7 linked regions of the Canis lupus familiaris genome follow. The protein of the gene in region 1 interacts with the protein of each later gene in a pairwise test. Links are inferred from orthologs where the notes say so. Each region holds a gene or a part of one and is shown in the gene's direction. Other genes may lie near its edges.

The links.
Region 2: the proteins of CARD9 (region 1) and TCEANC interact in binary tests that used the Homo sapiens proteins (3 or more experiments, as listed by UniProt). The two-hybrid records come from large-scale screens. The link is inferred for Canis lupus familiaris from reciprocal best matches to the Homo sapiens genes CARD9 and TCEANC.
Region 3: the proteins of CARD9 (region 1) and PPP1R18 interact in binary tests that used the Homo sapiens proteins (3 or more experiments, as listed by UniProt). The two-hybrid records come from large-scale screens. The link is inferred for Canis lupus familiaris from reciprocal best matches to the Homo sapiens genes CARD9 and PPP1R18.
Region 4: the proteins of CARD9 (region 1) and TRIM23 interact in binary tests that used the Homo sapiens proteins (3 or more experiments, as listed by UniProt). The two-hybrid records come from large-scale screens. The link is inferred for Canis lupus familiaris from reciprocal best matches to the Homo sapiens genes CARD9 and TRIM23.
Region 5: the proteins of CARD9 (region 1) and CDCA7L interact in binary tests that used the Homo sapiens proteins (3 or more experiments, as listed by UniProt). The link is inferred for Canis lupus familiaris from reciprocal best matches to the Homo sapiens genes CARD9 and CDCA7L.
Region 6: the proteins of CARD9 (region 1) and PAK5 interact in binary tests that used the Homo sapiens proteins (3 or more experiments, as listed by UniProt). The two-hybrid records come from large-scale screens. The link is inferred for Canis lupus familiaris from reciprocal best matches to the Homo sapiens genes CARD9 and PAK5.
Region 7: the proteins of CARD9 (region 1) and KIAA0408 interact in a two-hybrid assay, tested with the Homo sapiens proteins (2 studies listed by BioGRID and IntAct). The two-hybrid records come from large-scale screens. The link is inferred for Canis lupus familiaris from reciprocal best matches to the Homo sapiens genes CARD9 and KIAA0408.

Annotation. Positions count from the first base shown.
Region 1 is NC_049230.1:49,108,823-49,113,141, forward strand, and holds the start of CARD9 (caspase recruitment domain-containing protein 9), read left to right. Parts: upstream 1-1,347; 5' UTR 1,348-2,807; intron 2,808-4,042; 5' UTR 4,043-4,043; coding exon 4,044-4,281; intron 4,282-4,319. UniProt on the Homo sapiens protein: Adapter protein that plays a key role in innate immune response against fungi by forming signaling complexes downstream of C-type lectin receptors.
Region 2 is NC_049260.1:10,112,773-10,117,286, forward strand, and holds the start of TCEANC (transcription elongation factor A N-terminal and central domain-containing protein), read left to right. Parts: upstream 1-1,566; 5' UTR 1,567-1,669; intron 1,670-3,998; exon of another isoform or gene 3,999-3,999; 5' UTR 4,000-4,126; intron 4,127-4,514.
Region 3 is NC_049233.1:625,390-629,780, reverse strand, and holds the start of PPP1R18 (phostensin), read left to right. Parts: upstream 1-1,547; 5' UTR 1,548-1,681; intron 1,682-2,471; 5' UTR 2,472-2,504; coding exon 2,505-4,115; intron 4,116-4,391. Other genes in the region: NRM (nurim), read left to right, coding at 47-314, 775-806.
Region 4 is NC_049223.1:50,579,135-50,582,958, reverse strand, and holds part of TRIM23 (E3 ubiquitin-protein ligase TRIM23), read left to right. Parts: intron 1-1,308; coding exon 1,309-1,587; intron 1,588-2,591; coding exon 2,592-2,774; intron 2,775-3,824.
Region 5 is NC_049235.1:35,878,627-35,883,144, reverse strand, and holds the start of CDCA7L (cell division cycle-associated 7-like protein), read left to right. Parts: upstream 1-1,467; 5' UTR 1,468-1,511; coding exon 1,512-1,559; intron 1,560-2,730; coding exon 2,731-2,871; intron 2,872-4,518. UniProt on the Homo sapiens protein: Plays a role in transcriptional regulation as a repressor that inhibits monoamine oxidase A (MAOA) activity and gene expression by binding to the promoter.
Region 6 is NC_049245.1:13,104,906-13,108,729, forward strand, and holds part of PAK5 (serine/threonine-protein kinase PAK 5), read left to right. Parts: intron 1-2,715; coding exon 2,716-3,207; intron 3,208-3,824.
Region 7 is NC_049222.1:66,693,201-66,697,005, reverse strand, and holds part of KIAA0408 (uncharacterized protein KIAA0408 homolog), read left to right. Parts: intron 1-504; coding exon 505-1,387; intron 1,388-1,459; coding exon 1,460-1,648; intron 1,649-3,805.

The DNA of each region.
Region 1 (4,319 bases):
AGGGCCATGTAATCCCTCTCCCCTAGCTACACCCTCGCCCACTGGGTTGCACACTCCAGGCTCTGGTGCTTCCTTCTTGCTGACCCACGTGTGCCTCGGGGCCTTTGCACTGCTGTCCCCTCTGCCTGGCCTTCGTCCATGTCTGTAAGGCTTGTTCCCTTATCCCAATCATGTCTGCTCAGTGTTTGGCTGTTCAGAGATGCTCTCTCTGCCTGTTCTCTTGGGGCAGTACCACTGTCAATGTCTGTCTTGCTAGCACTGTCTCTTCTACACCCGACATGGTTTACATGCGTGTCTGCCATAAACGTGAGCCCTTAAGGGCGGTGATATGATTTGGTTTTTGCTGCCGGGTCCTCAGTGCCCAGAGAGCAGGCATCAAGTAGGCCCTCAGTACGGATTAGTTGAGTTCATGGTGCAGAGATCCCATGTGGGGGAAGATGTCTGGTCTACAGAGGTGGGAGCCAGCTCCTGCGAGTGTAGTGGGGCTGCGCCCTGAGAGGGTCCACAGAGGGGATGCTGGGGGTGGGGGTGGGGGCATCAGAAGCCCACCCAGGCTCTAGGGCCTGCCCTCAGCATGGCCCCCTGCATGGACTGCAGGTGGGCAGCCAGACCCGGTTCTGCGCCCTCGGAGGAGGCCTAATGCCACCTTTGGTTCCTATCCTACAGCACCATCTCTGGGGTCTGGCTGGGGTCAGGGTGTCCCCACCATCTGGGCATCTCTGTGTTCCAGGAGGCGGGAGCCATGCTGGACCCCAGTGAGCCCACCTGCCTGTGGAGCCCAGCTCCAACCCTCCCGGAGGAAGCAGCCTAAAGCAGTTGGAGGCTGGGGGAGGCTTCGCCGTGTGACCGTGAAGCCACTGGGGCTTGGCTAGTCCTCCAGCACAAATCGGAAGGAATGTTTGAAGGAATAAAGTGAATGGCTTATTTTTTTATTAAAAGGCAAGCCCCAGATTCTTGTTGCCTTAAGAGACTGGGCAGAGGGTTGGGGCTCCCCTGACCGTGCCAGGACCCGGATGGCTGGGCCCTGAGGTCTGAGGAACCCCCTGAGCTCCGGGCCACCGTGTAGGACGTGGGGAGTGCCCTTTGCACAGAACACGCTTGTGGCTCAAGCCCCAGGGCCTGCCAAGAGCTACCAGGCAGCTGCTGCCTTGGTGGGGCCACAGGGAATGGGGTGGACCTGCCTCACTGCCTTCCTGACCACACCGCCGACCCAGGCAGGCATCTGGAACCAGCGGCTGCCCGCCTGCCCACAAGTCACGCAGCGGCCCCAGGCCGGCATTGCCTTCCTCCTGAGCAGCTGCTTCTTGGTGGGAGGCCAAGCCCCAGCACCCTTGGTGCTCTGAGGGACGCGGTGCACAGCCTTGGCTTTGGTGTGCAGCCTTTTGAGGTGCTTGGTTCTAGAGGCTTCATGCCTGTGCTCTCCAGGTGTGAGCATGCCCTGGGGTGCTGTACCCACCCACCAGGGGGCTGACCCACCACCGTGCAGCCTCATGCACAAGCTCTTAGCTTTTCAGTTTGCACCTGGGGCTTTTTCAGCTCGTTTCTGCTTTCCTTGGGGGCTCCTTTAGACCTATGGCTAGTTAGAGGTCTCTTATTTTATTTTCAAACGTTTAGGGATTCTCCAGTTAGCCTTTTGTTATTGATTTCTGGCTTTTGATACAGAGAACAGAACATTTCTGTCATTGAATTCTTACCAACACCCCCGTGGGGGAGACACCCTTTATTAATTTGCTTTTGCAGAGCAGGGAAACACTGCTGGTCATAGCTCCTGGAGGGCCCAGGACTGGCTGTTCTGGAAGCGCGATGGCAGCCTCCATCCACCCAGGGTCAGAGGTCCGAGAGCCTACAGGCGGGGAGCCTGTCAGGCAAGAGGCAGCTGCCATGGGAAGGTGGGGCTGGGAGCCCTGCTCAGGACCATCCTGGCCTTTCCCTAGCAATTGCCTCAGCCTGGCAGCCAACAACTTGGACCAACCGGCCCAGCTGCGCCAGTGAGGCCTTGGCCTGGGGGTTTCCTGGCAGACCCTGGTCTGGAGGCCTGCTATCCTGGCTATTGGGTGCAGCTCTGATGGCAGAAACAGCCCTTCTGAAACTGGTTTGCGGGGCCATGATGAGTGGCCTGGGAGCCTGCTGTCACAGTCCCGAGTGTCCTAGTAAAGAGGTTGCTAAGTGGAGACACTCCCAGGAAGGGATAGGGTGTGCAGTGTAGCAGGGGCCGGTGGCCATGTGGGGCAAGCACGGACAGGCCACAGTGGGGTCTCCAGCCACATGCCTTCTGGACGCTACACCAGCCCTCATGTGATCAAGGCCCGGCTGGCCTACTGTGTGTGTGGGCATCTGGCTGAAATCCCAGAGTTAGGCCTGAAGCCCTGGGATCTCCTGCACTTTGCAGAGGGCCCACGCTGCAGGTTCCCAGCCAGCCCCTGGTGGAGAAGCCTCCAGAAGCCTGCGTTCAGGCCAGAGCGGACTAGACAGTGCATTGGCCTCATCCAGCTCCGGGGAGGGTCCTTGCTCACACTTCCACTTAGTGGATGCCAGGGGTGGGCCTCCAGGCCTCTGAGCAGGACTTCCACTTCCCTCTGCCCCGCCTCTTGGGCCCTGCCAGGCGGGCGAATCAGAAGGCAGGCCCAAGGACCCACTCCCTCTGGGAGGACCTTCCCGGCTCTGTGGAGCTGAGCAGCACCATCAGGAAGTGCACAGCTTTTCCTCCTGAGCTCCACTGGGCTGCCAGCAGCACCTCCTGTTCATCGGATCAGGCCAGCCTGGGCTGACCAGTGTCCACTGCACAGGTGCCTCTCGAGGACCCTGAGGTAGGCTGGTTGGCTGCCCTCTCAGGGTGGCCAGGAAGACACCCATCTCTCTGCTCAGGGCTCCTGGGGCACATACCCCAGAAGAGCACCCAGGGCCTCCACTCCTGCCCTGTCCTTCACAGCCACCTGAGACCTGCTTGTTCAGCTCGGTGGAATTAGAGGCAGGGGTCAGGTGTGGGACCTGTGGATGTAGGTGGGAAAGGCAGGAAGCGGGCTGAACGTTCCAAGGGCCATCCACTGAGTTGCTGGTGTCTCTCTGGCTGGATGGTGTGGCCAAGGGCTGCAGGAAGTTCAGGAAGCTCCTCCAGAGGCCCTGCCTGCTGCCGTCTGTCTCTGGGAGTATGGCCTAGCTCCTCTGGGTGGCAAACCTCCGCCCACAGTTCCTACGCTGGCTGAGGGCAGTCTGAGGTGGCAAGTCAGGGTCTCTGTCCCCACCACTGGGAGGAGGCTCCTGGTTTGGCCCAGGCCTCGAGCGTGGTCTGTGCCCGCCAGTGGAAGGGAGCAGCAGTGGGTAGTCCCAACACGGATGGCCCTGGTCAGGGAGCTGGCACCCTGCGTGCCCAGGAACAGGGAGAGGAGCCCAGAGGTGGCTGGTGCCTGGTCCCTAGGAGTCTGCAGAGGGCACAGGAGCGGCGTGGGTGCTGGCCATGCCAATGCAGCTGGGCCCCTCCTGGTGCAGCGGTCCACAGCTGCCCTTCCTGAGCCAGCCGGTGCCTGGGCCACTGTTGCACCACCAGCCAGCCGCCGGAAAGAGAGGAGGCGGTGGGGCTAGGCCCTGAGCAGGAGCCATGTCCAAGAAGGAGGAAGTCCTACAGCAGCACAGGCTGGCGTGTACGTGGGCAGGTCAATGCCCCAGGCGTGCCTCCCCAGCCTGGGCGCCTACCTCCCTGTACCTGCCAGGGAGGCCCTGCCAGTGGGTACGAGGTGGTGGTCTGCCAGACTCACGCTTTAGGGATGGGGGTGCAGAGGCCAGAACAAGGCCACAGTGGGGGGGGGGGTATTCTCAGATGCCGCCAGTCCCTGAAGCGCCTCCACATCTTCCCTCACACTTATCAGGGTGACTTGGACAGAGAAAGCCTAGGTCACCTGCTGAGGGAGTGGCTGCAGGGTCTAGAGAAGGCCGGGAGGGCTGCCCTGGCTGAGCTGGTGCCCCGGTCAGAGCACCAGCGCAGAGGAGGGAGGGCCAGGGCGGGTGAGGCTTCACACCTACCTGTCCTGGACTCCCCTGGGCCCAGCATGCAACTGTCCCTGCCAGCTGCTCTCCCACCAATCGCAGCGGTGGCCGCCACCATGTCAGACTATGAGAACGAAGACCAGTGCTGGAGTACCCTGGAGAGCTTCCGAGTGAAGCTCATCTCCGTCATCGACCCCTCGCGCATCACGCCCTACCTGAGGCAATGCAAGGTGCTGAACCCCGATGATGAGGAGCAGGTGCTCAGTGACCCCAACCTGGTCATCCGCAAGCGGAAAGTGGGTCAGTGCTGCCTCAGCCGGGAGCTTTGAGCACAGGAA
Region 2 (4,514 bases), on another chromosome or scaffold:
ACCAAGTGACAGGAGCCGTGCTTGCTGGCCTTGCACTTCTCTGCTAATCTGTGGTCATAAGTCTGTCGTAGAATGACTCATTCTAAAGAAATGAGCAAGAGGGACCAACGGCGTGGAAAAGAATAAGCCGTATGGAAATGACCCCAGATTACGGCAGGTAGAAGGGGGTGTTAAATGAGACTTCTCTTGACTCAGGGTTTTGCCCAGGGCCCCAAAGTTGAGCATAGGGCTGAGTGTCCTCTGGTTCTAAAGAGACACAGTGTACCATCCGTACAGGCTAGGTGGAGAGCCCGAAACTACTTCTGCGTCCTGTGGTTCCTCACCCCCCTTCAGCTCGTGTATAGGAGAAGGCAAGAGTGGGAGAGGGCTGTTAGAATTCTAGAAGTTTATCTTATTACTAGATGGTTAAAAAAGCCAGCCTAATCTAATATGGAAACTTCAATCAGTCATCCAATTCAAAGCTCTGGCTCCCTCTCAGTTCAGGTGTGACCTGTAACTCTGTGGAAGAGCAAAGGGAACGTTATGTGGATTAAGTTCTTCACTCTCCTATTGCACACTTTCTGCACTATTTTCTGGTTTCTCCAGGGTAAGGGCAGCAGGAGGAAGGGATGGTAATACAGGTCTGTTTAGAGTCAAATGTCCACCTTTGTCTTCACATGACCTTCACTCAACTCCAGTGTCTTGTCTTCTCTTACAAGGATTGTCTCTCGTTGGATTTGGGGCCCAACCCAGTGATCCAGGATGGTCTCATCTTCAGATCCTTAATTATATTTACAAAGCCCCCCCCCCCCCATTTTTTCCCAAGTAAAGTTGTCTGGATAGGTTTGGGGGAGGCAGATTTAGGAAGTGGCTGTATCTATCTTGGGGGCCGGGGCACCATTCAACCCACAACACTCATCAAATTGTTTCATTGAACCTGAAAGTGACCGGGAAAGCTGCGCGGTTTGCTCAAGCTCCAGCCCTGGAGCAGCCAAGGGGCAGGAGAGCCAACAGAGCAGCGGTGAGAAAAAATGAGTTTCTTGTTATACCCTATGGAGCGTCCCTGCTCGACCAATTAGATTCATTGGTGTCTCACTTAGTTGTGATAGAAACCATCGTGCGGCAGTAATAGCCGTTTGAAACTAAAGCCCCGAGTTTTACCGTCGCTTTGATTTTATCGGACCGTTGCAGGGAGAGGATGTGTCCGGATGAGCGGTGCCACGGCCACCTGGTGAATGTTCAGTACTTCCTTACCAAGGGACGCGGGCTAGGGCTGCAATACATACTTGTTAATTAATTACTGCATGAAATCAATCGCATCCGGCCACCGTTTTGTCAACCTTTCAGCTGAGCACTGCCTTGACTGAAAGCACAAAGCGTACGCCGTGGAGTTAGTTCAACACACTTCGCAGCTGAAAAACGCTCCTGGGGGCAGCTGCCTTCAACTCAGGAGGCCCCGGGGCCACGTCGCCCGCCACGCCCGGGGCCGCCCCACAGCGAGCGGCGGCGCGGGCTTGACGGCCGCCGGTCCCTCTGCGCAGACGCCACGTACCCAGCACGCATGCGCCCGGCCTGCGGTCTCCAGCCGCCGGCCTCGGATTGGTGGAGCCTCGGTGGCCCCGCCCCGCGTGCCGGAAGCTCTGTCCCGGCGCCGACGTCTCCGGAGATTCCCGGGCGTGTGCGCTTCTCGGTGAGCGACGCTCTAGGTTGTCGCGTGTGTGTGCCCGGCGGCGCTCGGGGACGCGCACCCCTGTTCGGGGACGCTCACCGCTGCTCCGGGAGGGCGCGGGGGGCCGCGGTGCGTCCCGGGGCGGGCGGGCCCTGTAGCGCCCTCGCGCCTCTTCTCGGGCTGACGTCGCTGGGGTGGGCGGATCCCCGGGGGCCGCCGCCGCCTCCGAGCTGGCGGCCCGCGCCCCTCTCCCGAACCCGAGCCCCCGCGGGCCCTTGCGCTGCTCCCTTCCGCCCTCTGCACCTGTGCCGGGGGGCGTCCTAACACGAAGGGACACTAGCGCAGTGTTGCGTGGCTGTTCGGAAACCGCGGCGCCCCGACCCAGCGTTTGGCATCGGTTCTCTCCCTGGGGGAAGGGGCTCCCCTGTGTAGCTGCAGAGCTGTGCGTGGGTTATGACTAGAAACAAAATTTCTCTTTGATCGCTCGTGTCCCCCGGGGATTAAGCCAGATGTGTGCAGATGTGTGCAGCGTGCCCATATTAGTTAATATTAACAAGCTTTTCTATGCATTCAGTCCACAGATATGTAGGGCCTGCACCTGCCCGCCCGGCATAGACTCATTTTCATGTATATTCAGAAGCTGGGGCAATAGGTGTGCACGTAAGCGTTATCTGTATTAGCATATGCTCTAGAACTGTGTTGTCCCATAGGTAACCACGAGCTACATGGAGCACTTGAAATGTTCCTGGTCCTAATTGAGATGCGTCAGAGTGTCAAACAGCGAATTTGGGGGAAATAAGTATGAAAAAGAGAATGTAAAATATCAACAATTTGTTTTTATTAATTACATGTTGAAGTGGCAGTATTTTGGATACACTGGTTAGGTAACATGCTGTAACCTTCACTTGTTTATTTTTTTAACGTGGGTACTAGAAAATTTTAAATTTTATCTGTGGCTTGCATTGTATTTCTGTTGGATAGCACTGCTTTAAAAGGGCTCAGCAAACTGTGGCCTACAGCCAAATCCAGCCTACCTGTCTTTGAAAAACATTGGAGCAAAGCCATACTCATTCTTTTATGTGTCGTCTATGGCTGCTGTTCCTGCTACCAGAGCAGCAGACTTGAGTAGTCCATACAGAGACTGGATGGCCTGCACAGCTTACAGTATTTACTATCTGGCCTTTTCCAGAAGAAGTTCGCCAACAAACAACAAAGTTCTGTACAACAGTGCCTGCCATGGAGATCCATGTCACGTGAATCTTTTAATTATAGTCCTGTGTAATTGTCATGTAGGCTTACTGTGTGACAGGCATGGCTCTAAGGACTTTATAAGGACTATCTCATTTATTTCCCATATTAAGCCTAAGATGCGGAATTTCCCCAGTTTTGTAGATGAAGAAACTGAGGCACAGAATCATCAAGAAACTTACGGAACATGCTCAACGCCCCTCGGCTTCTGTGAACTCTAGCTTCTTGACCCTTCTTATCCCCACAAGCTTGATCTCTGCAGTCCACTCAACCCACAGTGGGCACCATGGTGCTGCTGCTGCTACTGCTGCTACTCCTTTTTGTTTTGTCTTTTACATAACTTTTCGAACTAGAATTGAGATGAGGTTGGCTCATGTGGAAGAAGCTGAGGGGCAGTGAGCTTAGGTGCAGTGGGTACGAGCAAGCTGGTCTGTAGTGGAAAGAATGAAGTGTACAGGGGCGCCTGGGTGGCTCAGTCAGTTAGGCATCTGCCTTTGGCTCAGGTCATGCTCTTGAGGTCCTGGGATCCAGCCACGCGTCAGGCTCCCTGCTCAGGGGTGTGTCTGCTTCTCCCTCTGCCTCTGCCCCTCCCCTCTGGTTGTGCTCCACCCCAAATAAATAAAAAATCTTGAAAAAAAAAAAAGAATGGGGCGTACAAGCAGAGAGGAGAGGAAGCATTCTGGATCCTCTTTTCTCATTTAATAAGAATTTGTTGAGTAATAGTAAGAACTGGCCAGGTGTCTGCTGGGCGTGTCTCCGTGAATGAAACAGACATCATTCTCTTATGGTCTTGTGGGGAAAGCAGACAATAAAAAACATTTTAGGGACGCCTGGGTGGCTCAGTGGTTGAGTGTCTGCCTTCGGCTCAGGGCATGATCCTGGGGTCCTGGGATCGAGTCCTGCATCGGTCTCCACGCAGGGAGCCTGCTTCTCCCTCTGCCTGTGTCTCTGGGTCGCTCTCTGTGTGTCTCTTGTGATTAAGGAGAATCTTTAAAAAAATAATTTTAATGTAGTCTGCACAGTGAAAAGCCATCACAAATATTTGATTTTTTTAAAGACGTTTTTAAATTTAAAAAAATTTTTATGATTTTTTTTTTTAACAGGCTTCCTCATCTGGAAGATGGAGATAAGCCACATACCTGACTTGGGGTCATCGCAAGGATGGAGATGACATAAATGTGTGTGGCACGTACAGTTCAATAAATGTACATTGCCTTCTGCTGTTAAGAGGTAAGGGAGGGAATAAGTCCGGGGAACTGGGTGCATCGTGACGCTTAAGACATTGCAACCACCAGTTATAATTGTAGAGAAGAGTCTCAGGTGAGCTGTGCACAGGAGGTGTTTTTAATATTTCCTAATGGGGCTCAGTCAGCAAAATCCAAAAGCAGGGAAGTTCTATACATTCACTGGAGGAGCAGGTCAGGAGCTGTCTTTGGGCTGATGGCAGTGTAACTGAGTCGGTCCTGTAGCAGGAGGGCCTTGTGCTAGTATGTGTATAGAGCAGTGGCAGCAGCTCTGCTTTAAATCAGAGTCACTTGGGCAGCTGAGAAAATAGCCAGGCCTACCCTCAGGGATTCCCATCCATTCTTTCTGGGACAAGGCCCTGGCATTGTTTTTG
Region 3 (4,391 bases), on another chromosome or scaffold:
CTGCAAAAGGGGCTTGACCCCATTTCTAAGCTGTTTTCCCTCCTAGGTGTACTACCATGTGCTGGGCCTGGGTGAGCCTCTGGCCCTGAAGTCTCCCCGGGCTCTGAGACTCTTCTCCCACTTGCGCCATCCAGTGTGTGTGGAGCTGCTGATGGTGCTGTGGGTGGTGCCCACCCTGGGCACTGACCGCCTCCTCCTTGCTCTCCTCCTTACCCTGTACCTGGGCCTGGCTCATGGGCTTGACCAGCAAGACCTCCGCTACCTCCGGGCCCAGTTACAAAGAAAACTGCACTTGCTCTCCCGGCCCCAGGAAGGTGAGGCCGAGTGAGGAGCTAACCTGGTCCCAAGCCCTTTAACATCTGGGCTCTGGCTGCTTCAGACCAGAGGCCCAAATCTATGGACTGAAGGGGCCATCCCTTCCCCTGTTTGAGCCTCCACTCCTTGGGCCCAGCTCCATACCCTAATCCTGAATTTCAACCACTGGACCCCAAGATCTACTTCTCACCAAACCACGGAGGAAGGGTGGGGAACTTCAGTATTTCCTCACAGTTTAGGCCTTGACCCACCTCCACCCCACCTTAAGAACAGTCCTTCTAAGGAAGAAGGGTGGGCCTGCCCACTTCCCTCCCACTGTTGCTCCCTTCTACACCTCAGGGATCCCCTTCTCCCCCTCAGGCTTCCCTTCCTAGGAGTAGGATCAGGGTCTGCAGGTTTGATGGTAATGCCAGCTCTGCTGACTCACCTAGCCCCTCCTTAGGCCTTGCCCCTCCTTAGGCGCTGGCCCTGGGCTCTGTCCTCTAACCTGAGAGGATCCTCCCGCCCTTCATGTTGGTGACTAAGAGATCTCTGCCCTCCCGAGGAACGTCTGCGGCGGAAAAATAAAATTCAGCCCGTTTTTTCTACATATGGCATGCAGTCCATCAGTGTGTCTCTAACTAGAGGGCTGACTTTGGAAGGAAGGCCAGCAGAGCCCAGGCACGCCGAAGTCGAGTCCGGACGGCCACCGCGCCCTCTGGCGACCGCTGGGCGGCGGCCCCTCGGGCACACCCCCGAGGCCCAGCCCCCTTCCTCCAAGTCCCCAGTTCCCCCGCCGTGGACCGGGACCCATGGGACGCGGGCTGAAGCTAAAGACTGGGCAGCGGCTGTCGTGGGGGCCAGTTACCAAAGCCGTGGGCTTCCGAGTACGTCTCCGGGTGGCCGCCCGGGACCCCGCAGTGACGCAGGCTGGCCGGGAGAGGCCACCGCCTGGGGAGGGGCGGGCCCGGCCGGGGCAGCGGCTGCTTCCTCTGCGAGTCCCTCGAGGGGCCTGAGTCGCGGCGGGCGCGGCGGGCGGGGCGGGCGGGGCGGGGGCCAGGGCCTGGACACCTGCGTTCTCCGGGGCTCGCGGCAGGAGGGCCGGGCCGGGCCGGGGCTCGGGCGCGAGAAGGGGAGCCGGGGAGGCGGGGCCCACGCGCGGGCTCGGGAGCCGGCCCCGCCCCGCCCCGCCCCGCCCCGCGCCGCCCCGCCCGCGCCCCCTTCCCTCCCCATTGTCCTCAGACAAAGCGGTCGCCGCCCCCCGCCCGGCCCCGGGTCGCGGTCACCCTCCCGCCTCCCCGCCCGCGTCTCCGGCTCTCCCTCGGTCCCACTCCTCCTCCCTCGGACGCCTGCTCCTCCGCACCCCTCCCGTGGGAGCCCCGCGCGTGTGAGTCGGCTGCGGGGCTGCGGCCTCGGGGCGGGGGTGTCTCGCGCCGCCCGCCCCGGCGCGGACCTCGGGCTCCTCCCGTCGAGCCGCGGTTGCCTGTCGGTGCGCCCCGAGCCGGGGGGACGGCGGGCTCCGCGGGGCCGCTGAGCCGGGAGCCGGGCCTGGCGGCAGAGCCGGGGCGCGGAGCCGGGGCGCGGCCCGGGCCGGGGGCTGCCGCAGGAGGGGCGGGGGCGGGCGCCGGGGTTCCGGGAGCCCCGGGGTGGGCGCACCCGCGCCCCGCGCCCCGCTGCCTCCCCGGACGCCGGCTCCTCCCGGCTCCCCGACGCCGCTCCAGTCCCGGCTCCCTCCCGGCGGGACTCCCGGACCCCTCCCCGCCCCCCCCGCCCCCCGCCTCTGGGGCGGCGGTGGGGAAACCCGGCCTGGTCCTCCTCCTCGCGCCGCCCCCGCCCCCGCTCCCCGGCCGCTCCGGGCTCTCGCCTCCCTCGTTACGACTCCTTTTCCGCCCTTCTCTCCGCTCACATCCTCGGGCCTCCCCGATACCATGAACCCCGCGCTGCCAATTCTGACTGCTGTCTCCTCGCCCTGAATCTCTATTCTTCCTCTCAGGGCCGCGACGCCACCTCCGCCGGGCCCACTGCTTTTTCACTTTCTGTTTCCCCGTTACTTTGCCCTCCATCTTCTCACTCTTCCCCTCCCGGGCCTGGGCCCATCTCGGTGTCCCTCCTCTGCCCCTCTGCTTCCCCTCCCCCTACCCCCAGGACCTCTGGAGCCTCTCTTTCCTGTTCTCTAGCCCAGCACTTCCCACCCCTACCTCCGCGCGACCATGGCTACCATCCCGGACTGGAAGCTACAGCTGCTGGCCCGACGGCGGCAGGAGGAGGCGGCCCTTCGTGGCCGGGAGAAGGCTGAGCGGGATCGTCTGTCCCAGATGCCAGCCTGGAAGCGGGGAATCCTGGAGCGCCGCCGGGCCAAGCTTGGTCTGTCTCCTGGAGAACCTAGCCCTGCCCCTGGGACTACAGAGGCTGGACCTCCAGACCCAGATGAGTCGGCTGTCCTCCTAGAAGCCATTGGGCCGGTGCACCAGAACCGATTCATTCGGCAGGAGCGCCAGCAGCAGCAGCAGCAGCAGCGCAATGAAGAGTTACTTGCAGAGAGAAGGCCTGGGCCTTTGGAGGCCCGGGAGAGGAGACCCAGTCCTGGGGAAATTCGAGATCAGAGCCCCAAGGGAAGAGACTCAAAAGAAGAGCGGCTCAGTCCCAGGGAGGCCAGAGAGAGGAAGTTGGGGATAGGGGGAGCCCGAGAGTTGAGCCCCAGAACTTCAGAGGCTTGGGACTGGAGGCAGAGCCCAGGAGAGTCTGGAGACAGGAGCTCTAGACTGTCAGAGGCACGGAAATGGAGGCTGAGCCCTGGAGAAACTCCAGAGTGGAGTCTGAGACTGGCAGAGCCTGCAGAACAAAGCCCCAGGAGAAAAGAGGTGGTGGAAAGTAGACTGAGCCCCGCAGAATCTGACAACCAGAAGTTGGAGCTGTCAGAGTCCCATAAATGGAGGCCCGACTCTGGAGAGTCTCAGGAACAGAGTTTGGTACAACGGGAGGCATCAGGGTGGAGGCCCAGCTCAGAAGAAGAAAGAAAAGACTGTTTGGAGGAATGTAGGAGAAAAGAAGAGAGACCAATTCCAACACTGGCCTCAGAAGAGATTACAAAGGTGTCAGAGACCCTGACAAGGGAGGCTCCAGAGAGCAGCTCTGGAGAGGTGGAGGCAGCAGAGCAAAGGCCCGGCCCTGTGGAGGATAGTGAGAGGGGCCTGAGGCTGACAGAAGGCTGGAAATGGACCCTGAACTCTGGAAAGGTTCGAGAACGGACACCCAGGGACACAGAGACTCAACCTCAGAAACCCCCAGAGGCTGCTGAGAAGTATCTGGGGCCTCTTGGTACAGAGGCTGGAGAAGGGGAGGCTGAGAAGGAGAAGGCAGGGGCTCTGAGCAGGCCTCTGAGAACCCTGCAGAACTGTAGCTCTGTGCCCTCCCCCTTCCCACCAGAGGACGCTGGGACTAAAGGCTCTACGAGGCAGGAAGAGGAAGCGGTGGATCTCCGGCCCCCACCAACAGCCCCTCTGTTTCCCCTACCCCCAGCCCCACCTGCTCCCCAGTCCCCTGGGGATCCCCTCATGAACCGTCTGTTCTATGGGGTGAAGGCAGGGCCAGGGGTGGGGACCCCTCGCCGCAGTGGACACACCTTCACAGTCAACCCCCGGCGGTCTGTGCCCCCAGCAGCCCCCAGCACTCCCGCCACCCCAGCCGCGGCTGATGTTGCAGTTCCTGGAGTTGGGAAGAAGCGGTACCCGACTGCGGAGGAGATCTTGGTTCTGGGGGGCTACCTCCGCCTCAGCCGCAGCTGCCTTGTCAAGGGGTCCCCCGAAAGGCACCACAAACAGGTAGGGAGCAGCCCTCAGACTTCTCAGAAGCCTCAGCTCTCTCTGGCCTCCTTTCTTTTTTATAGCCCTGTATTCTTGTCTTCCTCTATTCTTTCTTGTTAATTCCTGCCACTACCCTTCCTCCTCTATGCACACCCTTCCTTCTTGTTGTAGCCCTCATTTTCCATTCATTTCCAAGCCCAAGGGTTCTGTCCCAAATCAAGTGCTGTCCCTGGGTGTGTCTCCCAGGGTGTGCCCAGGCTGCTCACTCTTCACCCTCGGGCTCTGGGTCCTTCC
Region 4 (3,824 bases), on another chromosome or scaffold:
TTTCCCAACACCATTCGTTGAAGGGACTGTGTTTTTTCCATTGGCTATTCTCTCCTGCTTTGTTGAATATTAGTTGACCACAGAGTTGTGGGGAGCACTGTTTTCTAAAATGTTTGTAGTTCTTTCATGTGCTATATCTTTATCTTTCAAAAGACATTAGAATATTGTCTAATATTGACCTTGTAAATTATTTTTCATGTCTGGAAAACAGAAGACATGAATTTTTAGTTTTATGTGTATGTGTTTCTCAAAATTGCAAGTAAAAATGTTTACCTTTGAGTTCATTTCTTAATTTACTTTTTAAAATTTATTTTTAAATTTATTTTATTTTTTTTAATTTCTTAATTTAATGTGATATTAAATGACACCATTGATATATTTTCTAATTTTTATTTCTGGAACAATTTATTCCAAGTTTCTCCCTTTCCAGTTATGGTCCTTTATTAAGCGTAAGTTTCAAAACATTCTTGATTATCTAACATGTAAAGTTTTTTAATTTGAATGCTTTTTGTAATTCATGAAAATTAGAAATAATATTTAAAAGCTTATATACAACATAGATTTTATTTATTTTTTATTTGGTTAACTCAGTGCTTTTTCAGCCAGGATTGTGCAGTGAGCTCACCTGTGGAGTTAAAAAAAAAACCCAGCTCAGGCTTCTAAGCCTATTGGAATAGGTATTTCCTAGGTTAGAGTCTGGGCATCTATATTTTTAAAAACTTTGTAGCTGATTCTTGTCTACACATCGTCTCAAAATAACATTTGGATTTCTCTTTTTTTCTATGTATCTCTGTGTTAAGTAGTATTTAAAGCAGTTGTCAGGGGTACGTGGCTATCTCAGTAGATCATGGAACTCTTGACCTCAGGGTTTTAAGTTTGAGCCCCACTTTGGGTGTAGACATTACTTAAAAATAAAATCTTAAAAAAAAATAAAGCAGTGGGGATATATTTGTTATCAGTTTTTTTAGTCCTAAAAAGATTTCCAGCCTTTATTGTTCAATTTCTTTTATGTAAAATTAAAGGACTCCGTGGAAGATATCTTTACACTGTGTATCTCTGAGAACAGTTTTATTTTTGGCCTCAAATTCATAGCATATATTGATAATCAATTTTGGAAATAGCTTATCACTTTCCTATAGAAATGAATACTTTATTAGATGAATTGTAAATGACCTTTTTACTTAATTACCAGTATTTCATATATAAAGCTTGGTCAGTCAGAAAAGATTCTGGGCTTTTATATTTTAAAATTTGTCATGTTCCAGTGATTGAGGTTCAGTTTGAAGACATTAATTTTTTGTTTATTAGAGCATCATTCGTTGCGATGAAGATGAAGCTCACGTTGCGTCTGTATATTGCACTGTATGTGCAACTCATTTGTGCTCAGAGTGTTCTCAAGTTACTCATTCTACAAAGACATTAGCAAAACACAGACGAGTACCTCTAGCTGATAAACCTCATGAGAAAACCATGTGCTCTCAGCATCAGGTACATGCCATTGAGTTTGTTTGCTTGGAAGAAGGCTGTCAAACTAGCCCACTTATGTGCTGTGTCTGCAAAGAATATGGAAAACACCAAGGTCACAAGGTATGAATATAATTAGACTGGATGACTCTATCTAGTTTACCAGCCTACCATTTGTTTCCATTGATCTGGTTCTTTATGCCAAGTAGGGATTGAAGAAGAGTTCAGTGATGAATGAATTGAGTTTGGTAGCGTGAAAAGAAATGAAAGATTTAATTTCTGAATGTCATAACAAAAATTTCAGAGAGGCTTTATGATTTTTTATTCACTAAAGAATAGCTTTCCAGAAGGAAACAAAATTTCTATGTGTGCATGTTTTTATAATGTACTGGATTGTGTTGATAATATTTATGTCTGTTGATGAACTGATGTTTATGGTAAAATTATAAAGTGAGTCTCTTGGATTCTTTTTTTTTTAAAGGGAGGGAGGGAAGGAGAGGGAGAGGGTGGATGGGTAGGGAGAGAGAATATCTTTTTTAATATTTATTTATTTTAGAGAAAGAAAGGGAACATGGTGGGGGGAGGGACTGAGGAAGAGGGGGAGAGAAACTTTAGCAGACTGTGCTGAGCACAGAGCCAGATGTGGCGCTCCATCCATGACCCTGAGATCACAACCTGAAATGCAACCAAGAGTCAGAGGCTTAACCCACTCTGCTACCCGGGCACCCCGAGAGAGAGAATCTTAAGTGGGTTTCATGCCCAGTATGGAGCCTGATGGGGGCAAGGATATGGGGCTGGAACTCACAAACCTGAGATCTCACAAACCTGAGCTGAAACCTAGAGTTGGATGCTTAACCAACTGAGCCACGCAGGTGCCCCATCTTGGACTGTTATTTAACAATAAATGGATTCCCAAATTCTAAATTATTTCTTTGAAGGATAAATAGTTTTGGGGTGAAGGTAAATTAGTATTTGTTATCTTGTGCTTTTTATATATGTGTTATAAAAGCCATTTGTGGTTGATGCTTCTCTCTCTTTTTTTTTTTTATCATTGGAGTGATTTAAATAGCATTTTATGTCATTAGTCATTACTGTGAGTTCTTTTCTATAATTTTGTTGCACTTTAGCATTCAGTATTGGAACCAGAAGCTAACCAGATCCGAGCATCAATTTTAGATATGGCTCATTGCATACGGACCTTCACTGAGGAAATTTCAGATTATTCCAGAAAATTAGTTGGAATCGTTCAGCACATTGAAGGAGGAGAACAAATAGTAGAAGATGGAATTGGAATGGCTCACACAGAACATGTAAGGACTTTTTTTCTTCTTTCTTTATATTTTTACCCTTTTTACCTCTAACCTTTTATTTTTATTGAGCAATTACATTGTGCTAGTACTGCACTAGTCACTGAAAATAAGTTTTTTAAAAAGTCTCAGTCTTCATGGAATTTATAGTCTGTTGTAGAAAAAAGTTTCAAGTGTGGCAACTTTTTTTTGTAACTGAAGTATAGGATGCCTTGGCAATGCATAAGAAGAACATTAATTTGCTGAGTCAGGGAAGGCTTCCTAGAATACAGGGTACCAAACTGAGACTTGAAGAATATGTAGTCAGTGAGAAAAGTAGGGTGGGAGTGAGTTGTCCCACTGAGGAAAGAGTATGTTAAATGCCTGGAAGTGAGAATTCGACGTAGTATTGAAACAACTCCGTTCAGTCCACTTGGAACTTTGAGTATTGGATGGGGCCTGGCGAGAAAAATTGTTAAGAGAGTGAAGGGCCAAATCACGTAGGATCTTGTTAGCCACATTAAAGAGTTTAGACTTTATAACAAGGGTAGTGATGAGTAGTTGAAAAATTAGCATAGGAATAAAATAATCAGATTTGTATTAAGAAAGGTAGCTCTTCAATGTAGAAAATGAATTGGAAGCAGGGAGACCTATTAACAGGAGGCTGCTGAAATTATCTGATTGAGAAATGTTTATGGCCTTTAATACTACAGTAGTGAGAATGGAGAGAAGTAGATGGGCATGAGATTTTAAAGTAGTGGAATAGGTAGGTCTTAGTGATTGATAATATTGATTGTATAAATAACTTGAAGGGTCTGGCATGTTGCCTAGATTTTTATCTTGCTCAGGTTAGTGGATGGTGATTTCATGCACTAGTGGGGGAGGAGGAAGAATTTGGAGAGGGGTAATAGGGCCAAGGTAATAATTTAATTAAGGTATTGAATTTCTTAGATCTGTGAAATAATGGGGATGATACCCTCCAGTGAATTGAAGAGTAAGTGGGTGTTGGGAAGTGAGTGTGTTTAACTTTTAAGAAATTTAGCTGTAAAGAGAAGGAAGGAACTAAGGGGATAG
Region 5 (4,518 bases), on another chromosome or scaffold:
TAAATCTACATGGGAGCGAGAGAAGCAGAGGGAGGGAGAGACAGCAAAAGAGAGAATATTGTGTTGGAGAAGAATGCCAGCTAATACATGAAGAACGAATAGAATTTGAAAACGACCATTGTACAATCGCTAATGTGTGGTAATTGATTCAAATAAGAGTTATCTATCAGTGGATGCTGAAACCACTCAGTGAATTGGTTAATCACCAATTAACCAGGGAAGGATAATCCCAGAAGGTCAACTATCACCCTACTTATTTCTTACTAAATACAAAGAGGAAAAGGTCTTTTTGCTAAGGAGAAATATGACACATCCTGCCGTAACTTGATCAGAGAGCATCACCACTGAAGACCAGAGATGGCCAGACATTAGGTGCTTTCTGAGTAAAGAATGCAGCACTACCTATGAAGTAGTCATCTTGCCAGAAAGAAGTGAACTTGAATCTGACAGCCTGTAACTCTAAATACCGAATCACAGGAAATCCCAGGAGATGTTGGAGTCTACTAAATACCATCTTGCAGCTGCAAAAAACAAACAAAAACCCCAACCTTCCAGACTCTCGCAAACCTCACAGTGAAAGGACCCAGTTTTTTAAAAAAATAAGTTGCCAAAGGAAAAAAAAAAAAAGGATCCATAAGAAAAGACTTTTCTGTTGATCAATGTATGGACCTTATTCAAATCATGATACAAATAAACCGTGAGTTTAAAAAAAAAAAAATAGGTTGACGGAACTGTGAAGACAGACTATGTATTTCCTGATGACACAGGGTGAAATGCTATTATCTTCAGTTGCTTCAGAATAATTTGGAAGGAGGGCAGTTGGATAGGGATACAGCTGGAGCAAGACTAGCCATGGGCGCAGGACTGCTTGATAGCTGGTCCCTGTGTGTGTTCACTATGCTGTTCTACCTACTTGGGATTATGTTTGAAAAATTTCATAATTACGTTAAAAAACACTACTAGGGGATAACTTGTTATTTTGTGCCTCCTTATGCATTGCATTGAGAAGTGCATGTCATCTGTATAGAATTGTTGCCAAAAATATTTCAGTAAAGTATATCAGTGACCAATGAGATAAACTCAGAACGTATGACATTCAACAAGGCAGTAGTCTTGGGTTATTTAAGTAATATCAGTGTTACGAAAAGCAGCAAAAAACAGTGTCATAAAAAAAATAAAATGCATGATCTTTGCTTGAATGGGTCCCTTTAGCCCCCTTAAAGTTAAAAAAGACATTTTGGGACAGTTGTAGACATTTAAATATGAGCTTGTATTGAATGATACTATTGAATTAATGTGAATTATTTTAGGTATGATTGTAGTTTTACGGATCTAAGGGGAATGGGGAATGTTTTTATTTTCAGGCGATGTGTGCTGAAGTATTTGAGGGTGAATTAGTATGATGTCTGCAATTTAAATATAGGTGGAATAAGCTGGCTCGTACTAAATAAATGGCTATTTCTTTAGGTCAAAAACTGTGAAATACTAGCAAATGCTGATGGTTCCACTTAATGTTTGTTGACAGAGAAAGCAAAGGTGGTGACACATGGGGACTCCAGGTAAAGAATATGTAGATGGTTGTCCTATTCCTTCAGCTTTCCATGTTTTTTTTTTTTTTTTAAGATTTTTTATTTGTTCATAGAGACACAGAGAGAGAGAGAGAGAGAGAGAGAGAGAGGCAGAGACACAGGCAGAGGGAGAAGCAGGCACCATGCAGAGAGCCTAACGTGGGACTTGATCCAGGGTCTCTAGGATCATGCCCTAGGCTGCAGGCGGCACTAAACTGCTGCGCCACCAGGGCTGCCCGCTTTCTATGGTTTTGAACTTGTTCAAAATAGAGAGTTGGGAACAAATAGGTAGTCAGCATATGAAAATGAATTCTGAACTAATACATACATACTTGTTAGATTAAGAGCGCTGATAACATTCCTTCTTGGAATACTTGCCTACAGTAGTGTTTACATTCTCTTGAAATTAATTTTGAAACTACTTGATTGAGAGGAAAAAAAGGAGCAACAAAGCTACTTATTTCAATGTATGAGTTTTCATGTCTGAATCAGCAGATGACAAAGAGCAAAAAAATCAAAGACCAATAGGTGGAAATGAGGAAAAGAGGAGCTTATTAGTATCATCTTATTTTGACATGGATGACATTTAAAGATTTTCTTTTTTTTAATTTTTATTTATTTATGATAGAGAGAGAGAGGCAGAGACACAGGCAGAGGGAGAAGCAGGCTCCATGCACCGGGAGCCCAACGTGGGATTCGATCCCGGGTCTCCAGGATCGTGCCCTGGGCCAAAGGCAGGCGCCAAACCGCTGCGCCACCCAGGGATCCCGACATGGATGACATTTAAAGACAGATCCACTGCAGGAGAAAAATAGTTGTTTTCTCACAAATGATGACTGTTCCTTTATTTTTTGTGTAGAGATCACATAGGGTTTCCATCTAGATATGGCCTTGACATTCTCTGTAAGATAGGATATATCTCTAGAGTTTGAAAAACAGTCTAATCTTTCCCTCCCCTACCTTCTTTTGTTGCCATGAGGGATCAGCTGAAGCACATTTTGCTCCGGGGTAACTGGGGTCTTCTTGGTGACCATGGCAGATCTGCGACCTAGTAGATTGATAGAGCTAGTAGATGCTAATCCCTCCTCCTTTCTAGAAAATTTCCCTAAGTGATTATAACAGCCCTCGGTCTTATCCTTCTTCTTTTTTGAATCCAAAACAGATCCCTAAAGAAGTGGCTGACATCTTTAACGCCCCCAGTGATGATGAAGAGTTTGTCGGTTTCCGAGATGATGTTCCCATGGAAACCCTCTCATCAGAGGAGAGCTGTGATAGTTTTGACTCACTGGAATCAGGGAAACAGGTACAGATGCTTCCTTTCATGGAAGGCACGGTCTTCTGGAAGCCTGGATCTTGGTTCAGATATTCTTTTATTTGAATATGGTCTGAGATTGGTGATAGCAGTTAATTGTCGAGCATTTTATTTTATAAGTGTTTTGCTTCATGTTTTAAGAACCAATGAGGCTACCTAGATCACTTTTACTGTTTAAGCCCTTTCTATAATAGTTTTTTTTTTTTTTTTTTAATAAAGAGGGCCTCACATGATCAGATCTATTTCCTTTGTAACCTCAGGGCTTGCAGCCTGTGTCCAGGCTGTATTCAGAGTGCTCCCATGTGGCTGGGAGGGGAGAGGTGGTCCTGCACAGCCACCGTCCACACCGCAGTGCCGTGCAGGAACGTGTGGTTACCACGAGACAGTCGTGTCCCTGTGCTCCTATAGCGGGTTTCCATTGACACCCTACTCTTGGAATTGCCGGGGAGAGCCTTATTCTTTCTTGGATTACTTTGATCTCTGGCAAACACAAATTACGTTTCTCTGAGAGTTAGTTTCCTGGAGGTTTATATTATGCCTTAGCAGTGGTATGGCCAGTCGAAATAGCTAGCTTTCTGTAGCATTTTCTTCTGCATTCATTGTGGCTCTCAAAATTCTTCATTCTCCCTGGACCGTAGCCTCTCTCAAGAGGCTGTAAATTAAACCCACCTTGCTTCAACTGGGCAAGTGTAGGAGGTTCTAGAAGCACTTTATGATACAGTGTAAGTGCCTGCTTGATCACTTGGCTGCCTGTGTGTTCCAGCCTCCTCCTGCAGCTCCCCTGATGCTCATGGCCCTTACCTTAGTTACAGCACTAAGGTCTGGCCGTGAGCTTTGCCTTACTCAGAAACCATTTGAGCATGGTCAGGCAGTGAGGGAGAGTAGAGCCCGTGGACCCGCCGTGAGGGGCATTCTGAGCAGCGCAGCATGTGTGTGAAGAGCTGAGCCTGGAGCCCAGCAGTGCAGTGGGCATCCAGAAACAAAACAGCTTCCATATCTTGGCTGTTGTAAACAATGCTGGAATAAACGTAAGTGTCAAATTAGTGTTCTGGTTTTCTTTGCGTAAATACTCGCTAGTGAAATTACTGGATCGTAAGGTAGTTCTATTTTTAATTTTTTGAGGATCCTCCCTACTACTGTTTTCCACAGTGGCTGTACCAGTGTGCGTTTACACCAGTGGTATGTGAGGCTTCCTTTCTCTCCACATCCTCACCAACACTTGTTTGTTGTCTTTTATTTTAGCCATTCTGACAGGTGTGAGGGGATACCTCATTGTGGTTTTGATGGGCGTTTTCCTGATGATTAGATAGGGAAGCAGCCTAAGTGTCCATCAATAGAAGAATGGATAAGGAAGATGCTAAATATGTGTTCAGTGGAATATTAATGCAGCCATGAAAAGGATGAGGTTTTTGCCATTTGCCGCAACATGGAAGGACCTAGAGGGTGTTAAGCTAAGTGAAGTAAGTCTGAGAAAGACAAATACCATATGATCTCACTCACGTGGAATCTAAAAAATAAAATAGATAAAAAGCCGAATCAGACCTATAAATACAGAGAATAGACTGATGGTTGCTAGCAGGGAGGAGTTGGAGAGATGGGTGAGGTGTGGGGAGACGGGTGAAGTGTGTGAAGGTGAGT
Region 6 (3,824 bases), on another chromosome or scaffold:
AGAGACCTTCCTTGGGACGCTTGGGTGGCTCAGTGGTTGAGCGTCTGCCTTTGGCTCAAGAAGTGATCCTGGGGTCCGAGGATGGAGTCCCGCATTGGGCTCCCTGTGAGGAGACTGTTCCTCCCTCTGCCTGTGTGTCTGCCTCTCTATGTGTGTCTCTATGAATAAATACATAAAAATCTTTTTTAAAAAAAGAGAACTTCCTTGACGACCACATCCAAGATGGCATCTCATTAATCTTAAACCCTTTGCTCTATTTTCCTTCATATCTCTGTTACTACTGGACTGCATACTGTACATTTATTGGTTTTCTTGTTTATTGTGTGTCTCCCTCTCTAGAATGTAAACCCCAGAAGGGCAGAAATACCGTCCATTTATATTATTGCTGGACCTTCCCATGGCACCTGAAAAGGTGCCTATCACATAATAGTGGCTCAAAAATTAACTTGTGGACAAAACAAATTCATGAGTATACTACATGGGAGCAATGGATTTCCTTCACCCAACAGAACTTTCTGCAATGATGGAGATGTTGTATATCTATGCTGTCCAATGTGATGGCTATTGGATACTTAAAATGGGACTTCTATGACAAAGGAATTGAGTTAATTTAATTTTTTATTGATTTCAATTAAGTAGCTACATGTGGTCAGTACCCACCATACTAGAGTAGATCTAGATCCTTAGATGGGGTATGGGGGCATGTACATGTCATTTCATGTACATCCCAGTAGAGTGTAGAGACTTCCCAGGGTGCTGTGTTAAGAAGGAGCCTAAAGTCCAATAAAAAATCTTTTTTGAGCACTTTCGGTGTACCCAGCACTGTGTCATCATCAGGATATCACACAAGGGTGCAGTGATTGATTAATGTATTCTGTCCTGGGCAAGGAGGTGAAGACGTTATGATGTGGTATATTTACCATACCTGACCTCAGTTGTTCCAGAGCTAGTCAGAGGTCCTCCCTGATTCCTCCCAGGGAGTGATTGCTGGAATGTACACCTAGTGTTGTACAAAACTCCCGCTGACTTCCCCCATCCCTGCTCTTTCTGCTGTCCCTATTCTCCACTGAGTTCCCTGAATCTAGTCTTCAAAACTAAAGTAGAATGTTCTTTGCTGGAATCCTTTTGAGGGATGATCAAATTCCCTTTCACACACACACTCCTGCAAAATTTGACAACTCTCAATTATATTTCTGCTTATTTGGTGAGAACATTGCATGTGTTTACCTTATGGTCCATACTGAAAAGCTGCTTAGCAGAGCCGTATTTTCCCTTTTACATGTATCTGCTAGGTTATGCGTGTGGATAATACATATCCCCCTTCTAGTATATGAATTCACAAGCATGGGGAAAGGCATTCTGCCCCTGAAATTTCTCACTGAAGACTAACATCCTTTAATGACAAATGGGATCTTTTATTCCTGCAAAGGAAAACAGAGCCTATACACCAAGTACACCTTGGATAAGGCAGATTTTTTTTTTTTTGGCATAAGGCACTTTTTAATTAAAACTCTCCCTGTGTTTCACATGAGTAGGAGAAGGCCCTTTCCTAGGAGCAGTGGGTATAATTGGTGCCCCAACCATATCCCTTCATCACGTATTGTTTCTGTCTGCCATCACTGCTTTCCTTTGTCTAAAGCAGTAGTTTTCAGCCAAGAGCAATTTTGCCCATATTCTGGGAATATTTAGCAACATCTCAAGAAACATTTTTGGTCATAACTGGCAAAGTGGCTGCTACTGGCATCTAGTAGGTAGAATCTAGTGATGCTGCTAAACATCCTGCAACACACAGGACAGTTGGCCACATCAGAGAATTATCTAGCCCCCAAAATCAGTGGTGCCAATGCTGAGAAATTCTGGTCTAAAAGGTTTCTCTATCTGCTGGAGGCTAGTCAGCCCAGGATAAGGCAAATCAGGAGTGCCAGGAAATTAATATTCATGGAAGCAGATGTTAAACAGTGTTTTGAAGGGATCTGGTGCATAAATACTCCATCTTTTGGCCCCTCAGATGGGACAACTTCAAGGTATATGCTTAATATAGTCTCCCAGGGTACAGAGTTAGCTGGTGGGATTAGATTACAATTGCTTCATTGGTAACTTGCTGTGGCATATTGGGGCTTACCAAAAAGATGACCAGTAGGGGGTGTGTTTGTGTACACAGAGAGAGTCTCTCTATGGATGACATCAGTCTTTTCATGTAAAGCCTTCATCTGATTAGATGCAGCCCACCCACTTCATGGAGAGCAATCTGCTTTGCTCAAAATCTACTGATTTAAATGTTAAGCACATCTTTAAAAAATACCTTCCCAGAATATTGTTGACCAAACAACCAGATACCATAGCCTAGCCAAGTTAACACATAAAATTAACCATCATACTCTATGACTTGCCCTTTATTGATGTTCCCCTTCCTTGTCTCACCTCATAACTCCTGGGATCACCTCCCACCAGTTGCATTTAAATTCAGGTCTCATCGTCTGCTTCTGGGGATTTGAGTAAAGAAAAGGGAAGAAATAGACTAAATAGGGAGGTTGTAGGGTAGGTAAAGGATGGAAGCAGGAGCCATCTGGGACCTCACAAGGTAAGCATCACCCACAACTATGTTGTGTATGGTCCTCTTCATTCAGGCCAGCTATAGGTTGATTCAATTGGCTCGCTGACTGCAGCATTCAGATCTAGCATGTGATATTTCTCCATCTGTGTCTGTCTTCCCAGGTGGATTATGATCGAGCACAGATGGTCCTCAGCCCTCCGCTGTCAGGGTCTGACACCTACCCCAGGGGCCCCGCCAAACTACCTCAAAGTCAAAGCAAAGCGGGCTATTCCTCAAGCAGCCACCAGTACCCATCTGGGTACCACAAAGCCACCCTGTACCACCACCCCTCCCTGCAGACCAGTTCACAGTACATCTCTACAGCTTCTTACCTGAGCTCTCTGAGTATCTCATCCAGCACCTACCCCCCACCCAGCTGGGGATCCTCTTCAGACCAGCAGCCCTCCAGGGTGTCCCATGAACAGTTTCGGGCTGCTTTGCAGTTGGTGGTCAGCCCAGGAGACCCCAGGGAATACTTGGACAACTTTATCAAAATCGGAGAAGGGTCAACCGGCATTGTATGCATTGCAACTGAGAAACACACAGGGAAACAAGTCGCAGTGAAGAAGATGGACCTCCGAAAGCAACAGAGACGAGAACTGCTTTTTAATGAGGTAGATGGTGTGTTCGGATCACTCTTTCTCTCCCAAGTAACATGTATTTCCCTATTTCAAAAATATTACATGTACAGCTCAGAACATCAGAAAGCACTGACAATAGAAATACAAAAATAATGTTCCCATAATCCTTCCTTCTGGACTTGGTCTGTATGTGTACAGCTGCTACTTTTATAAAGTACTTCATACAAATCAACCACTGTGCTAAGCTCTGATCTGGCTTGATTCACACAACAAACCTGTGAGACAGACATTATCAAGCCCAGGGTCATACACCAGGTTGATGGCAGAGCTGGGATTTGAATTCTAGCAGATTCCAGAGCCTTATGCTACACTATCTACATGGGTATATATACATTTTGTTACATGGTTGTGATACCATGTATACCCTCTGTAGCCATTATTTTTAATCTCAATAAACAGAAGTTGGTTTACCAATGGATTATCACTCTTTAGGAACTTTAAGATACATTTTCTAACTATAGGAATAATGAATTCTTCCTGTGGAAAATATGGAAGATAGAGAAAATATCCCAAAATCTCACAACCGAAAAATAGCCTACATTAATATTTCAGGAGTTTCCTTCTATATTTTTTTCTCTTTAGAAAAAGTA
Region 7 (3,805 bases), on another chromosome or scaffold:
TCTCAAGCCCAAATGACACGTTCCGTTTGCAACCACGTTTCAGTGAACTTTTATTTGGATTTCTGTTGCGCTTCTTAGCTTAGGATGTCATTTCAAATTCAAGGGAAGGAACTGGAGCTCACATGACATAATGAATAGGAATTCGGTGGGTAGAGCAGAGGTAAGGAAATGGTAGGAGAGAAGCTGTGGAAATGAGAATGCCAGTAGCAGACACCCAGGAGACTGCGCTGTCCGGTCTGAGTGTAAGAGCCCATTTGGAACATCAGGGAAAGAGAGTTTGGGTCAGAGCAGGTGAGCTGTGAGTGCCACACTGAGAGGTAGGCTTTATCCTACAGTAAAAAAGGACTTGGAGGTTTTGACTTAGAGAAGTTACATGAAAATGCTGTTGGAGGAAGTTGGGAGTCCTGTTCTTATAGCAGAAGTTCATTGCCTAAGCGTGGTTTCTTTTGAGAACTCGTCCTAAATAAAACGATTGCTAATATACCGTGTTTTATAATTGTTTAGGATGAAGTCAGATTCTTTCCTGCAGGAAATGCCACGTGTAACGAACATGCCTCGCGGAGACCACATGATCAGCGATGGCCAGGGCATTCTTGCAATCAACTCGGAAAAGCAAACGCAGGAACACGGAAAGAATCTAAGCTGCACCGATGTACCCCTGAGCGGGGCTAGGAAAAAGGGTGAACTGGGTACGACCGATCTGCAGAGAAATGAAGCTCCACCGCTTCCTCCTCCGAGAAGCACATCCCGAAACTTTCCCAGCTCCTGTGCAGAACGAGCTCCTGGGAGTCTGAAGGGAGGTTTAGGCCGCAGCAGCCTGGTGGCCCCGGAGGGTCACGGTGGAAGGGGCCGTGGTCCTGACATCCTTCGGAGGCCCCGGGCGGCGCCTGGGCTGGGAGCAAATGAAGGGCAGGCCCTGCAAGGTGGCATCGTGTTTCCTTCTCTGGCGCCCAAAGCCAAGATAGAGGACAAGCCTGCATGTGAGGACCGTGTTGGGCTGGGCGGCTGGCGTGGTGGCGGTGGGGTCGCCGCACAGAATGGTCCCTCTGCATCCTGCTGTCCCGAGAGCTGGGAGGCGCTGGCCCCAGGTGGCCCGGCCGCCTCTCGCCCCGACGACCTTGGCTCCGCGGCCACCGAGGGCAGTGGCCCGCTTCGGGGTCTCCGCTGTGGCTTCAGGACCACCAGGAATGAGAAGCTGGCCGCCAAGACCGATGAATTTAACCGAATCGTGTTTAGAACGGATCGGAACTGCCGGGCAGCGCAGCCCCCGCCGAGCCACCGGCCACCCCCCGGGGGGCCCGGACCCACCGCCCCGGGGGCCGCGGGGGGTGACGAGGCGTCCGGGGGTCGGCCCGCCGGTGCCCAGGGGCCCGTGCCCGGGGCGCAGGTGCCCGACCGCCCCGGCCCCCGCCCCGGCCCCGGCCCCGGCCCCCGCCGCCCGCTGCTCCCGCGCGCCTGGGGGCCCCGCAGCCTGGCCGGCCGCCCGCGCTCCGCCGACCCCCGCTCCAACTACGGCGTCGTGGAAAGGCTGCTCCGAGGCCACGGGGCTGCCGCTCCGGCCGCCTCGCCGGGTCCCCAGGGCCTCCGGGAGGAGACGGAGGGAGACGGAGGCCACCCCACGGGCCGGTGGGCCGCAGGCGGCACTGAGGTCAGGGGCGGGACCACGGTAGGGCGGGGGCCGGGGATGCGGGGGGCGGGGGGGTAGGGGCCGGTGGGGGGAGATGCCTGGGCCGGGGATGCGGGGATGTGGAGGGGGATGCCTGGGGCGGGGATGCGGGGGGAGGGATGCCTGGGGCGGGAATGCCCGAGGGGGGTAGAGGGATGCCGGGGGTGGGGGGGGGGGGAGGATGCCAAGTGCGGGGATGCCCAGGGCGGGAATGCCCGGGGAGGGGGAGGGGGATGCCCGGGGGTAGGATGCTCAGGCGGAGATGCCTGGGGGAGCGGGGATGCCTGGCGAGGGTGATGCCCGGGGCGGGGATGCCCGGGGTGCGGATGCGGATGGGGGGGGGGGTGCCCGGGGCGGGGGTGCGGGGCAGGGATGAGGGGCGGGGGCGGGATGTAGATGCCAGGGGCGGGGATGCCTCAGACGGACGGGGAGGCGGGGGACAGGGATGCGGGGGATGCGGGGGTGGGGACGCGAGGATCCCTGGGGGGGATGCCCGGGGCGGGGATGCCCGGGGCGGGGATGCCTGGGGGGTCGGGGATGCCGGGGGTGGGGGGGGGGATTGGTGGGTTGCCCGGGCAGGGATGCCTGGAGGAACGGGGATGACGGGTGCGGGGATGCTTGGAGCCGGGATGCGGGCGGAGGGGCGGTGCCGGGTGTGGGGATGCCCGGGGGGGGAATGCCTCAGGGGGGGAATGCCTGGGGCGGGGATGCCCAGGGTGGGGATGCCCGGGGAGAGGATGCCTTGGCGGGGATGCCTGGGGGGCTGGGGGGGGCGAGGATGCCGGGGGGGTGGGGATGCGGACGGGGTGGGGGGTGCCGGGTGCGGGGATGCCCAGGGGGGAATACCTGGGGGGGGCGGGGATGCCTGGGGCGGGGGAAGCTGCGGGGATGCCTCGGCGGGGATGCCTGGGGGGGGGGGGCGGTGCCTGGGGCGGGGATGCCCGGGGTGGGGGGGAATGCCTGGGGTGGGGATTCCCAGGGCGGGGCTGCCTCGGGTGCAGCAGGTGCTCGGGCCCAGGCCAGCCCCGCGGGCCGCCGGCCAGGGGGATGAGGAGCACCTGCCCAAAGCCCTCGGAACTGCCGGCCGCCGCCCAGGGGCTAGCCCAGCGCCCTCCAGACGTTCTTAACTTCTTGACCCTTTATTTGTGATTAAGTATAGACCTTAGGACTCTAACACCCCATCAATTCTTAAAATCACCATCAAATTCTTAAAGTCTTCTTTTAAGACTGGGAATAGGACATGATAACTTTTTTAAGGATTCTGAAATGGGACGATGTAAATAAATGGACTCGGGAACTTCCAGGTCAGATGTCTGTTGTAAGTTTCTCTCTGGAAGAAAATGTTCCAAACAAACAAAAACCATTCCAAATGAGCGTTATTGGTCTATAGCATCCTATTCTTTTGGTGCTTATACTTTTATTTTTTTAAGATTTTATTTATTTATCCATGAAAGACACAGAGAGAGAGGCAGAGACACAGGCAGAGGGAGAAGTAGGCCCCATGCAGGGAGCCAGACGTGGGACTTGATCCCAGGTCTCCAGGGTCAGGCCCTGGGCTGCAGGCGGCGCTAAACCCCTGAACCACCCTGGCTGCCCTGTTTTTAAAGAGTGTTGGAAACCTTAAAAATAACTTCTTGCACTTTTCAGTTGTTGGCTACGATTGGTTCAGTCATTCCTGGCATCTGATTCGTGTTCTTTCTCGTGGGGATTAGTCACACATATGTGACTGTAGGTCTAACACATCATAAAATAATGCCTCATAAAGTTCTCTTATTTGTGGAGCAGAAAGGCAGCACATGGGAATAAAATGATATTATAGCTTAAAATTTTTTAAGGCCATTCTTGTGTGAATTCTTAGCCTGAAAATTGCCCTCCCCAAAAGTAAGTATTCATTTTTTGTTGTTCTTTTTTTGGTCTGGTCTGTTTGCAAAAGAATACAATCTTCATTTGTTATAGGAGAAAAAGATGTCGAAGAGATTGATGTTTGCAATAAAGAACCACCCAATGATCCCTTTTAATGCATAATTTACAAAACGTTGCATGGTGACATATTATCACAATTAACTAATACGTCGAAAAATCCTACTGTTGCAAAATGCAGTGTGTATGCAGCATAGTTTTAAGCTGTGCGGGTTGCCT